3 linked regions of the Oryctolagus cuniculus genome follow. The protein of the gene in region 2 interacts with the protein of the main gene of each other region in a pairwise test. Links are inferred from orthologs where the notes say so. Each region holds a gene or a part of one and is shown on either strand. Other genes may lie near its edges. The genes, in order: COPS5, GFER and BNIPL.

The links.
Region 1: the proteins of GFER (region 2) and COPS5 interact in a two-hybrid assay, tested with the Homo sapiens proteins (2 studies listed by BioGRID). The link is inferred for Oryctolagus cuniculus from reciprocal best matches to the Homo sapiens genes GFER and COPS5.
Region 3: the proteins of GFER (region 2) and BNIPL interact in a two-hybrid assay, tested with the Homo sapiens proteins (2 studies listed by BioGRID and IntAct). The link is inferred for Oryctolagus cuniculus from reciprocal best matches to the Homo sapiens genes GFER and BNIPL.

The regions. Positions count from the first base shown.
Region 1 is NC_091437.1:92,672,078-92,674,433, forward strand, and holds part of COPS5 (COP9 signalosome complex subunit 5), read right to left. Parts: intron 594-2,356; coding exon 445-593; intron 1-444. UniProt on the Homo sapiens protein: Probable protease subunit of the COP9 signalosome complex (CSN), a complex involved in various cellular and developmental processes.
Region 2 is NC_091450.1:33,243,364-33,247,515, forward strand, and holds GFER (FAD-linked sulfhydryl oxidase ALR), read right to left. Parts: upstream 2,698-4,152; coding exon 2,440-2,697; intron 2,280-2,439; exon of another isoform or gene 2,257-2,279; coding exon 2,060-2,256; intron 1,170-2,059; coding exon 1,007-1,169; 3' UTR 513-1,006; downstream 1-512.
Region 3 is NC_091438.1:47,051,805-47,055,454, reverse strand, and holds part of BNIPL (bcl-2/adenovirus E1B 19 kDa-interacting protein 2-like protein), read left to right. Parts: intron 1-1,965; coding exon 1,966-2,148; intron 2,149-2,301; coding exon 2,302-2,404; intron 2,405-2,562; coding exon 2,563-2,694; intron 2,695-3,538; exon of another isoform or gene 3,539-3,650. UniProt on the Homo sapiens protein: May be a bridge molecule between BCL2 and ARHGAP1/CDC42 in promoting cell death.

The sequences.
Region 1 (2,356 bases), on a different chromosome or scaffold from region 2:
ATATCTTGGGATTTAAGACTTTATGAAAAAAACCCTGAAATTTGTTAAGTTTCAACATCTCTTAATTTAATTCTACAGATGCTTATATGACAATAAACCAAGAGATTCTTTTGGCAAAGGCTTGCTTTTATTTATTTTTTTTTAATTTGAAGACCTAAAGGAAGATTAGTTTCTTTCTTTGACTTTGTAGCTGAACTAGAAGAGATGACTGGGAGTATTCCATGTCACTGCCTACATCTTTGATTTAAGCCTTTAATGTTCTGACCTAATGACTCCTAAATTTTCAGAGTTAAAATCTGCATTTGACAACTTTTAAAGGTCCCAAGAAGTTTAATGTTCAGATATTATTCTGACTAATTTGAACTGTAAGGAATTTGGTTCCTACTATTATTTGAGAATTGAAAGTAAAAAGAATCTTTTTCTTATTCTTATTCTTATTCTTACCTGTCTCTTGTGGCTTTGGCAAGTTTGTCCTCTGATTTTCGGTCATGTGTTTCTAAACCCAACATGAAACTTCCTCGTCCCAGCTGGGCTTCTGACTGCTCTAACTTTTCAGACAAATCAAAGACCTGACCAGTGGTATAGTCTGCATTCTGTGGAGAAGATGATATTGTATTAGTACACAAGTCTACCATTAAAAACATAAAAAAAATATACATACACACATATATATTTTAATGTAAATTAATTTTCTTCTATAAAGAACATTTCATTTACAAAGAATCCTCCTATAAGATCTGAGTGGATGATTATTGAAGTAAGAAGTCAAATTACACGTGCAAAATCTTGCAACTTTTTCAACTTGTCAAGTGGTTCAATGTAGATGTGTTCTCTTTTTAATTTCAAGATTAAATTTGGAATTTTTCTCTTCGACTCTAGGTCTAATGGTGATTATTATTACAAGAGGCCTTGGCCTACACATATCAAGTCCAGCTCCTAACCTGCTGCAGATTAGTTGGGAGGCTTGGGACATGCCTGCAGGTCCTCTTCAGAAAATGGGAAAAGGGAGCAATTTCTATGTTAAGGCTATTGTGAAAAATTAATGAAATAATGTGTGAAAGCTCTTAGGCTGGTCCATGGCACCCACTAAATGCTTAATAATTGTTAGCTAGTTTTGTTACTATTCTTTTATAATTTGTACTTAGGATAATATTTTTAAAAATAACCTTTGGTTTTGCTTAATAAATTATTACAGAAAATAATTTAATAAATTACAGAAAATTTGGAAAATGTAGAACAATATAAAGAAAATAGACATAGCTATAAGCCCTTCACCTCACTCATATGCATTCTATATCTGGGAAACTAGAATATTATATATTGTATTTTTATAATATGACATACTTTTTAAAAAGAAAAAAGTTATATGTCTACATTACTGTAATATCTTTAAAGAGATTGTTATAAGATATCCATTTTTAGTTTTAGTCTAAAATATAAAGAAAACCTACAAAGTTGTAAAGCATATATTACATTTCTTTTCTTAATCTTTTGTAGAAGAGAATGAGGATAAATAAGCCATTTGGCGAAAATCAGCATGCTATTTTAGTTGCTCAGTTTGAAAGACAGCTTACAAGAAATACAGTTTAACTATCAAACACAAAATGTTATAGCTATCATCAAAGTTACCACAGAAGGCCCTTTAAAATGCTACCAGATCTCCTAATGATTGTTCAAAGTTAGGGTGATTTTAAAATGATGCAATTATATTTACTTTGCCTAAATGAATCTAAATGGTTTAGGAAATCAACATTTATCCCACAGACTTGGAGAAAAGCCTAAGGTTTACAGACTTTTCCACATTCAGAAGATTAGCTACAGAGCCCATAAAAATGTAAGCTAGCAGAAATGGTTATACTAGTAAACTGACAGTAAAATATACCCAATCACATTTCAAATGCCCAGAAAATTAATACAGGAAACTAATTTCTTAAAAAAATTTTTCTCTGGTAGCTTTTAGGTTTTATGCTATAATTAACTGCTTTAGTTGGAGAAAGAGAAAGTGAACATAATTTACATGTTTTCTTAAAATGCAGCAGTGTCCTATATGAGTATATAAAATCACAGAAAGGGAGAAAATGTAATTTAACCTTTTCTTGATTATTAATGTCCTCATATATGCAGTGCTGGAATACAGGGACAGCCGTGTGGCTGAGTAGGTAGATCTGCTTGCCTTTATACAAAGGTTCAGACTGCTCTGGTCTTACACAGTGTTTTCTCCCCTTGCATCAGCTCTCACTTCTGGTTGCTATTAGTATACTTGCCTCTACGGAAACAACACATATAAAGCATTTAGCAGTGTCTGGCACACAGGAGGCACTTAATAAATGTTTGCTATTATGTTTGCTTTCCTTCC
Region 2 (4,152 bases):
TTGGGCCCTGCATCCGTGTGGGAGACCCGGATGGAGCTCCAGGTTCCTGGCTTCAGCCTGGTCTAGCCCCCAGCTGTTACAGCCACCTGGAAAGTGAACCAGTGGATGGAAGATTTCTGTCTCTTCCTCTGTAACTCTGCATTTCAAATAAACAAATCATTAAACGCTAAATAAATAAGCATGTCTATGTTCCTTGCGTGCTGCTGGGGGCCACCTCAGCCACCTGGGTCACATCGCTCCACGCCACTCCTTGGCTCCAGACCTTGGCTGCCTGTTGCCGAAGCCGGGAGTGAAAGCCACATCTGCTGGGGTCTTGAACCCTGCACGCCCCGCTCCCTCCCCGTTAGAGCGGACCCTTCCGCTGCAGCCATCGGCCTCCCTGTCTACTGGAACACCCAGGCCACGGCAACACGGTGGCCGCCTGCACGGGCATCCTCTCCATGCCCCTGCGGGGTCAGACCCCAGACAGGAGGGCAGAGCTGAGCACAAAGCACACCAGAACCAGGTCCAAGTCTCTTGTCCAGCACTTTATTCTGGTCTCTGAGCCCGGCACCGTCCTGGCACACCTTCAGAGGGCCCGTGCCAGGCGGGGCGTGGCAGCACGCTGGGCGACCTCAGGAAAAACTCCGCCCCAGACTTCCCCATGGGGCTGGGCCCAACGGAGTACTCAGGCCCAGGCCTCACTCCCCAAGTGGCAACGGCACAGAGCCACTGGGGCCACGGCACTGCTCAGGGAGAGGCACAGCCGGGCCTCACGGGGCAGGAAGAGGGAGCCCCGGCCTCTCGCGGGCTGCCATCCTGGACGACGAGACGCTCCTTCCTGCCTCCCTCCCCTGCACACCCCTGCCCAGGCCCCCCGCTGAAGAGGAGGCCGGCTGCTGGAGTGCCCGCAGGGGGCAGCTTCCTTTCGGAAGGGCAGTGTCCTGGGACCACCCAACGAAGACGCGACAGCTGTGGCTCTGACGCACTTTAATGAGCGGCCCGCCCCTCTGCCGCGGCCGCCCCTCTAGTCGCAGGAGCCGTCCCTCCAGCCGTCGCGCCAGCGCTCGTCCACTTGTGAGCAGTCAAACTCGGGCTTGCCCAGCTTGCGGTTCACCTCGTTGTGCAGGCGGCACAGCCACTGGCTGAGGCACGCGCGGGTGCGGGTGTCCGGCTGGTTCCTGTGGATCCTGAGTAGGGGCGACACAAAAGGGGGAGGTGGCCCCGGCCCTGCCGGCGCCTCGCCGCGGGAGGAGAGAGAGGCACTGCAGCCAGCGGCACCGGGGGGCGTCCTCCTGCGTCCGGAGATGGGCGTTCCCCAGGGTGGACCCTGCAGAGCCCAGGGCAAGGCACCGGGGCACGAGGCAGCCACTTTACAGTCTCGTGAAATCAGGAACACTCACCTGTGCCCCTGGCCCCAGGCAGGTGCAGCCGGGGCGGAGCCGGCACAGAGCGGACCGCTCCTTAGCACCCCAGGGAGGCCTTGGTGAACCAGTCAAGCCAGGGCTGCCTGGTTCTAACTGTCGTGGCTGCCCCCACACGTCCGGCCCGGAGATGCCTAACACAGCTCCCGGGCATCTCAGTGAGGAAAAGCAGTGGGTTCCCAGGCTTTCAAACCAGCAATCGGGGGCCGGCAGGGCGCAAGGCCTAAGCCACGGCCTGCAACGCCAGCATCCCACGTGGGCGCTGGCCCAGTCCTGGGCGCTCCACTTCTGCTCCAGCTCCCTGGGAACAGCAGCGGAGAACGACCCAAGTGCCCGGGCCCCTGCACCCCCATGGGAGGCTGGGATGAAGTTCCTGGCTCCAGCTTGGCCCAGCGCGGGCAGCTGAAGCCATGAAGAGTGAACCAGCAAATGGAAGACCTGTCTCTCTCTGTTTGTTTGTTTCAAATAATAAAAAGAGCAATCAGCATCGACAGTCGGGCAAAGTGCAGCTCTCCCTAGCCTGCCCCCAGTCCTAGGGCAAAGGGCAGCCGGCCCTCCGGGGCGAGCCGCAGAGCCCGGGCGGCCATGGTCTCTGCCCCGCTCTGTGACATCAGCAGGCAGTGCGGGCCCCGGCTCCACGGGCGAGCGCGGCTCACCTCTTTCTGATGTCTTCCGCACACTCCTCACACGGATAAAACTTGGAGAACAAATGGATGAACTGGGCCATGTCCTGCTGCTGCTCCGGGGTGGGCAGGTCCGGGTAGTAGGCGGCCAGGGTGTGCAGCAGCGCCCAGCTGTGGCGGCCCAGCTCCTCGCGGTCCTGTGGACAATCCTCTCTAAGCTTCGTGTCCCGCTGCAGAAGTAGGCCGACTAAGGGTCAGTTAGCGCTCCCCGACACGGAGGCCCACCGGCCACCCCCTTCCTCCGCCCCAGCTCTGCACACAGGTCCTGCGGCGCTTCCGGCCCGCGCGCGGCTGAGCGGGGCGGCCGAGGCGCGCGGAAGCCAAGGGCGGGGAGGTCGGGCGGGCGCCGGCACCTTCTGCTGCGTTCGCATCCACGCCTTGAAGTCCACGCAGGCCCGGCAGGGCCGCCTCTGCGCGGCGTCCTCGGCGCGCTGCGGGGCCGGGGCCGGCGGCTGGCCTGCGGCGGCAGTGCCCGCGGCGTCCCTCCGCCCCGCGCCCCGGCCCCGCGCGTCCGTCGCCAGGTCGTCCATCACCTCGGGGCGCGCGCCGCCCGGCAGGAAGGAGAAGAGGCTCCCGCGGTACGAGCGCCCCGGCTCCCCGGGCGCCGCCATCTTGCCCGCGCAGCGCCTGCCGGGCCAGCTCGGCCGCCAGAGGGGCCTCCAGGTCGGCCTCCAGGCCAGCGCGCGCGCCGCCGCCAGCGCGCGGCCGCAGGAGCCGGGGGCGCGCGCCGCGGGCGCGGGGGGCGGGGCCGGGCCGGGGTCCGGGGCGGGGCCCGGCGCGGAGGCGGGGCCGGCGGCCGGGGTCCGGGCCCGGGGCGGGGCGGGGCCGGAGGCCGGGGCGCTGGCCGCGGCGGGGCTGGAGGGCCGGGCCTCGGCGGGGGCCGGGCCGGGGGCCCGGGCCGGCGCGGGGGCGGCGCCGGAGGCCCGGGCGCTGCGGGTGCCCCTGGGCCTCGCCCCCCGGCCCGCCGCGCTCGCCGGGCGCCGTCCGTGGCGGCGCTCGCGCTTCCTCCAGTAGAAGAGCAGCGTGTTGTGGAAGGTGCGCCGCGGCCGCGCGGCGGACTCGGGCTGAGGCTGGGTCGCAGTGCGGGTGGCGGCCCGCGACGCCCCCATCGCTCCGCTGGCACCTTCCTGCGTGCCCGCGGCCGGGCTCTGTGCCCGCAGCGGGGGGCGCGCCCGAGGCTGGCCCCCCGGGGCCTTGGCAACGGCGCGTGCGGCGCGGGGCCGGCGTGACCGCACAGAGCGTTCCCTGGGACCCCGGGGCCGCGGTCCCTCCCCGGCGACCGGCGCCCTGGCAACGGGGCGCCCGCCTCCCCGCGGTCCTTCCGTGGATGTCCGGGCCGCGCTCTGTTCCCGGCACCGGGCCGGACAAGAAGCAAAAGTGCCCCTGACCGTCACTCCGTGCGGTGTTCAGCACAGTGACAAACCAAAGCCACACCTGTCAGTGTTCCTACAAGCAGTGGTAGGGCCCACGCAGGGCCGGGTGACCGCAGGCAGAGAGGGAGGGTCTGGGAGCCCAGGGCCGGGGGACATGGACAGCACAGAACGGGGGCGGGGTGGGGACTAGGGGTGCCCTTCAGGGGCCGGCACAGCCTCCCTGACCTGATCCCATGTCTGTTTTGTGAAGCTACCCCTGGCGGTGACGTGGAGAGTGGCTTTCACAGGGGCCAGCAAACCCCCCAGGGATGGGGGTGGGTGACGGCTGGAGTTGAACTGTGAGGGAACAGAGTAGGGGTCCAGAGAGCGGAAGCTGGGTGGAGCCAGCGTGGGCGCAGGGGGCCTCCGGATCCTTCCCAGCCCCATCTGATTAAACCTGGCCTCCCTCCAGCTTCTCTCCTGGGGCCCCCTCGGCTGCCTGGGCTGGCACCGGCAAGGTCAGACAGCTTTAGAGAGCAACCGGTGGGACAGACACACAAAGGATCTTTGTTGAGGCAGGGCAGCTTCCTGGAGGCCTGGGGGGGTGGGGGGCAACCTTGACACGGCACCAGGAACAAGCACCTGGCACAAGGGTTAGATGTGGCTTGGACAAGGAAGCCGCAGCCTAGAGAGGTAGGGCCCCTGGGTGAGCCC
Region 3 (3,650 bases), on a different chromosome or scaffold from region 2:
CCCCGACCTTTTTTTCCTTAAAGAAGGGCAGCAGGTGAGGAGGAAATATGAAAAGATAGTGCAGTGGTCTAGTCACGGAGGCCCTTGCTGCTACACTAAGGAATTTAGATTTTATCTTGTAAGCAATGAGGAGTCTCAGAAAGATTTTAATCATGGAATTAACATGATCAAGTTTAATGACTGAAAAGACTAGAAATGGCCAAAATATCCGTGAGTAAAATAATGTTTACTACAGGGCATTAACACTATGGAATTATTTTTAAAGATTTATTTATTTACTTGAGAGGCAGAGTCAGAGAGAGAGAAGAGAGAGAGATGTGTCTTCCATCCACTGGGTCACTCCCCAAATGGCTGCAATGGCTGGAGAGCTGGGCCAATCCAAAGCCAGGAGCCAGGATCTTCTTCTGGCACAGCTGCCAGTATTTCTATATACTCAAATTTCTGAAAATGTCTCACTGGATCTAAGGAGTAGACATATTCAAAACTTTGCCCATAAGCCTCTAAGGAGGATACACCAATTAAGAACCCCACACAGGCCGGCGCCGCGGCTCACTAGGCTAATCCTCCACCTAGCGGCGCCGGCACACCGGGTTCTAGTCCCGGTCGGGGCGCCGGATTCTGTCCCGGTTGCCCCTCTTCCAGGCCAGCTCTCTGCTGTGGCCAGGGAGTGCAGTGGAGGATGGCCCAGGTGCTTGGGCCCTGCACCCCATGGGAGACCAGGAAAAGCACCTGGCTCCTGGCTCCTGCCATCGGATCAGCGCAGCGCACCGGCCGCGGCGGCCATTGGAGGGTGAACCAACGGCAAAGGAAGACCTTTCTCTCTGTCTCTCTCTCTCACTGTCCACTCTGCCTGTCAAAAAAAAAAGAAGTAGAAAAAAGAGAACTTGCTCTGTGGTCTTTAGAGTAGATTGAAGGAAAAGAGACCAGAGGCAGGGAGAGCAGGTAGGAGGCTAGTACCAAGCACAAGTGAGCCAGAACAGTGATAGTGGCAAAGCTAATAAAGGGGCGTAATGAAGGTGGATGGAAGAGGATGTGGGGTCCAGCTGGTTTGAGGGCAGACAGAGAAGAAGGAATGTCAGAACAGTGTTCTCTCACACCCGGCTAGATGGATGGGATTGTTCGTCAAGAAAGGAAACAAGGGAGGGGCTGGCATTGGGGCGCAGTGGGTTAAGCTGCTGGCCACCCATACGGGCAACCTGTTTGAATCCTGACTGCTCCACTGCTTATCCAGCTCCTGCTAATGCACCTGGAAAAGCAGCAGAAGTGCTTAGGCCCTTGCAGCCATGTGGGAGACCTGGATGGAGCTCCTGGCTCCTGGCTTTGGTTTGGCACAGCCCTGGCCGTCATGGCCATTTGGGGAGTGAACCATCAGATGGAAGATCTATCTCTCGGTCTCTCCTTCTCTCTCCCTGTAACTCTGCCTTTCAAATAAATAAATAAATCTTAAAGCAAAAGAGAGAGAGAGAGAAAGGAAACGAGGGAGAGGAAGAAGAGGATGATTTTGGATCTGGGACCTGACAGGGACACATAAAGGAGGGAAGTGCACTCCAGGCAGTCAGAGATATGAATCTGGAGTTAGGAGAGAAGTTTGGGTTAGAGAGGCAGATCCGGGAGTCCTCAGCTTTCTGACAGTAACTGAACCCGGGGACTAGATATGCTCGCCCAGGGGAAAGCGTGTACAGAAACTGAATCCAGAAAAAGAAAAAGCCAGGTGCTGGTGAGAGCCACGGACCTGCCGTGGTGCAGGGACCCTGAGGCCATTGTCTAGTGAAAAGGAGAGGATCAGGAGGCGCAGGAGAGAACCTAGGAGGATGGTGGTAGTGGGGTGAGTGGACAAACTGAGGTTAAAGGGACGGAAACAACTGAGGGCCAGGCGATTCAGTAACAGACTCCAGGCATCTGGGAACTTGACAAGATACTGAAGGTGAGAATCATCCTGCTGATCCCTCTACATCGCTCTTTCAGATGAGCTGCCCCGGGCAGAGGGTCTGGCGGCCAGTGAGGCTGCGGAAAGGCTGGGCCGGGGTTGCGTGTGGGACGTGGCTGGAGAAGACGGGCATCGCTGGAGGGTGTTCCGAACAGGACAGCGGGAGCAGCGAGTGGACATGACTGCCATTGAGCCCTACAAGAAAGTCCTGTCTCATGGAGGTAATGGCTAGTGTAGACGGAGGGGTAAAAACAGTGACTTCTGGAATAAACAGACCAAGCTGGAGACTCGGTCATTGGGTTCAAAACTCCTTCCTGTAACCTGTACAGCCCCTCAGAGGTACTGTCTTGCCAACACATACTTCTCTTCACCAGGTTACCATGGTGATGGACTCAATGCTGTCATACTCTTTGCTTCCTGTTATCTACCCAGAGGCAGCATTCCCAACTATGCCTATGTCATGGAACACTTGTTTAGGTGAGGTGGAAGGCCTGAGGGGCTACAGAGGGTATTATGGGAGGAAAAGAAAAAAAAGTCCCCTTCCAACATCTGTACTGATTTCGGAGTCTGCAGTAATAGTCCTCGTGCTCCCTGTGACCCACAACACAGGGCTCCCCTGTAATTCTGTCCCCCAGGTATATGGTGGGGACCCTGGAGCTGCTGGTGGCTGAAAACTACCTGCTGGTTCACTTGAGCGGCGGCACAAGCAGGGCCCAGGTTCCACCTCTGGGCTGGATACGCCAGTGTTACCGCACTCTGGATCGGCGGTGAGACCCCAGGATGAGGGCGCCGCAGTTCTCTGTCTTTCTTCTTCTCCATCTTCTCATTCTTTCTTCTTTTTAGCTGCTTCCTCATTCCTTTGTCCCTCTCCACCCCTTTCCAAGCCCCGCCTGTCCTCACGTGGAGTTAAGGAGATCAGGTTTCAAATCTCACCTTTACCATTTACCAGCTGCATGATGGGTGCAAGCCACTTTACTTTTTGGGCCTCAGTTTCCTTATCTGCAAATAGCAACAGTCGTCTCTTTGCCGTTGGGCACTTGTGAAAGTGGAGTTAACGCGGAGGCACATTCTGGCATGTGGAAGGCAGTCTGCCTCCTCTCCCATCTTGCCCTGTATTTCATTTCCACAGCTGCACTGTCTTCTTCGCCTTCCTCTTTTTAAATAATGCTACTTAATTTAAGGACAACACTTGACTTAATAAGGACCTTCTTTAGCTTTTCTTTCTTTCTTTCCTTTTTTTTTTTTTTTTTGTTGTTGTTGTTGTTGACAGGCAGAGTTAGACAGTGAGAGAGAGACAGAGAGAAAGGTCTTCCTTTTTCCGTTGGTTCACCCTCCAATGGCCGCTGCAGCCGGCGGACCGCGCTGATCCGAAGCCAGGAGCCAGGTGCTTCTCCTGGTCTCCCATGGGGTGCAGGGCCCAAGCACTTGGGCCATCCTCCACTGCCTTCCCGGGCCACAGCAGAGAGCTGGCCTGGAAGAGGGGCAACCGGGACAGAATCTGGCGCCCCAACCGGGATTAGAACCCAGGGTGCCAGTGCCACAGGTGGAGGATTAGCCTAGTGAGCTGTGGGGCCGGCCAAGTTTTCATTTTTTTTTAAGATTTATTTATTCAGCACTATATTTAAACCTACCGATGAGAATTTTCCTTATTCTTGGTTACGCTGTAGTGCAAAAGAATTCCTGGCTCTGTCAGTTGCATAGCTGACTTGTGCCATTCTGCTGT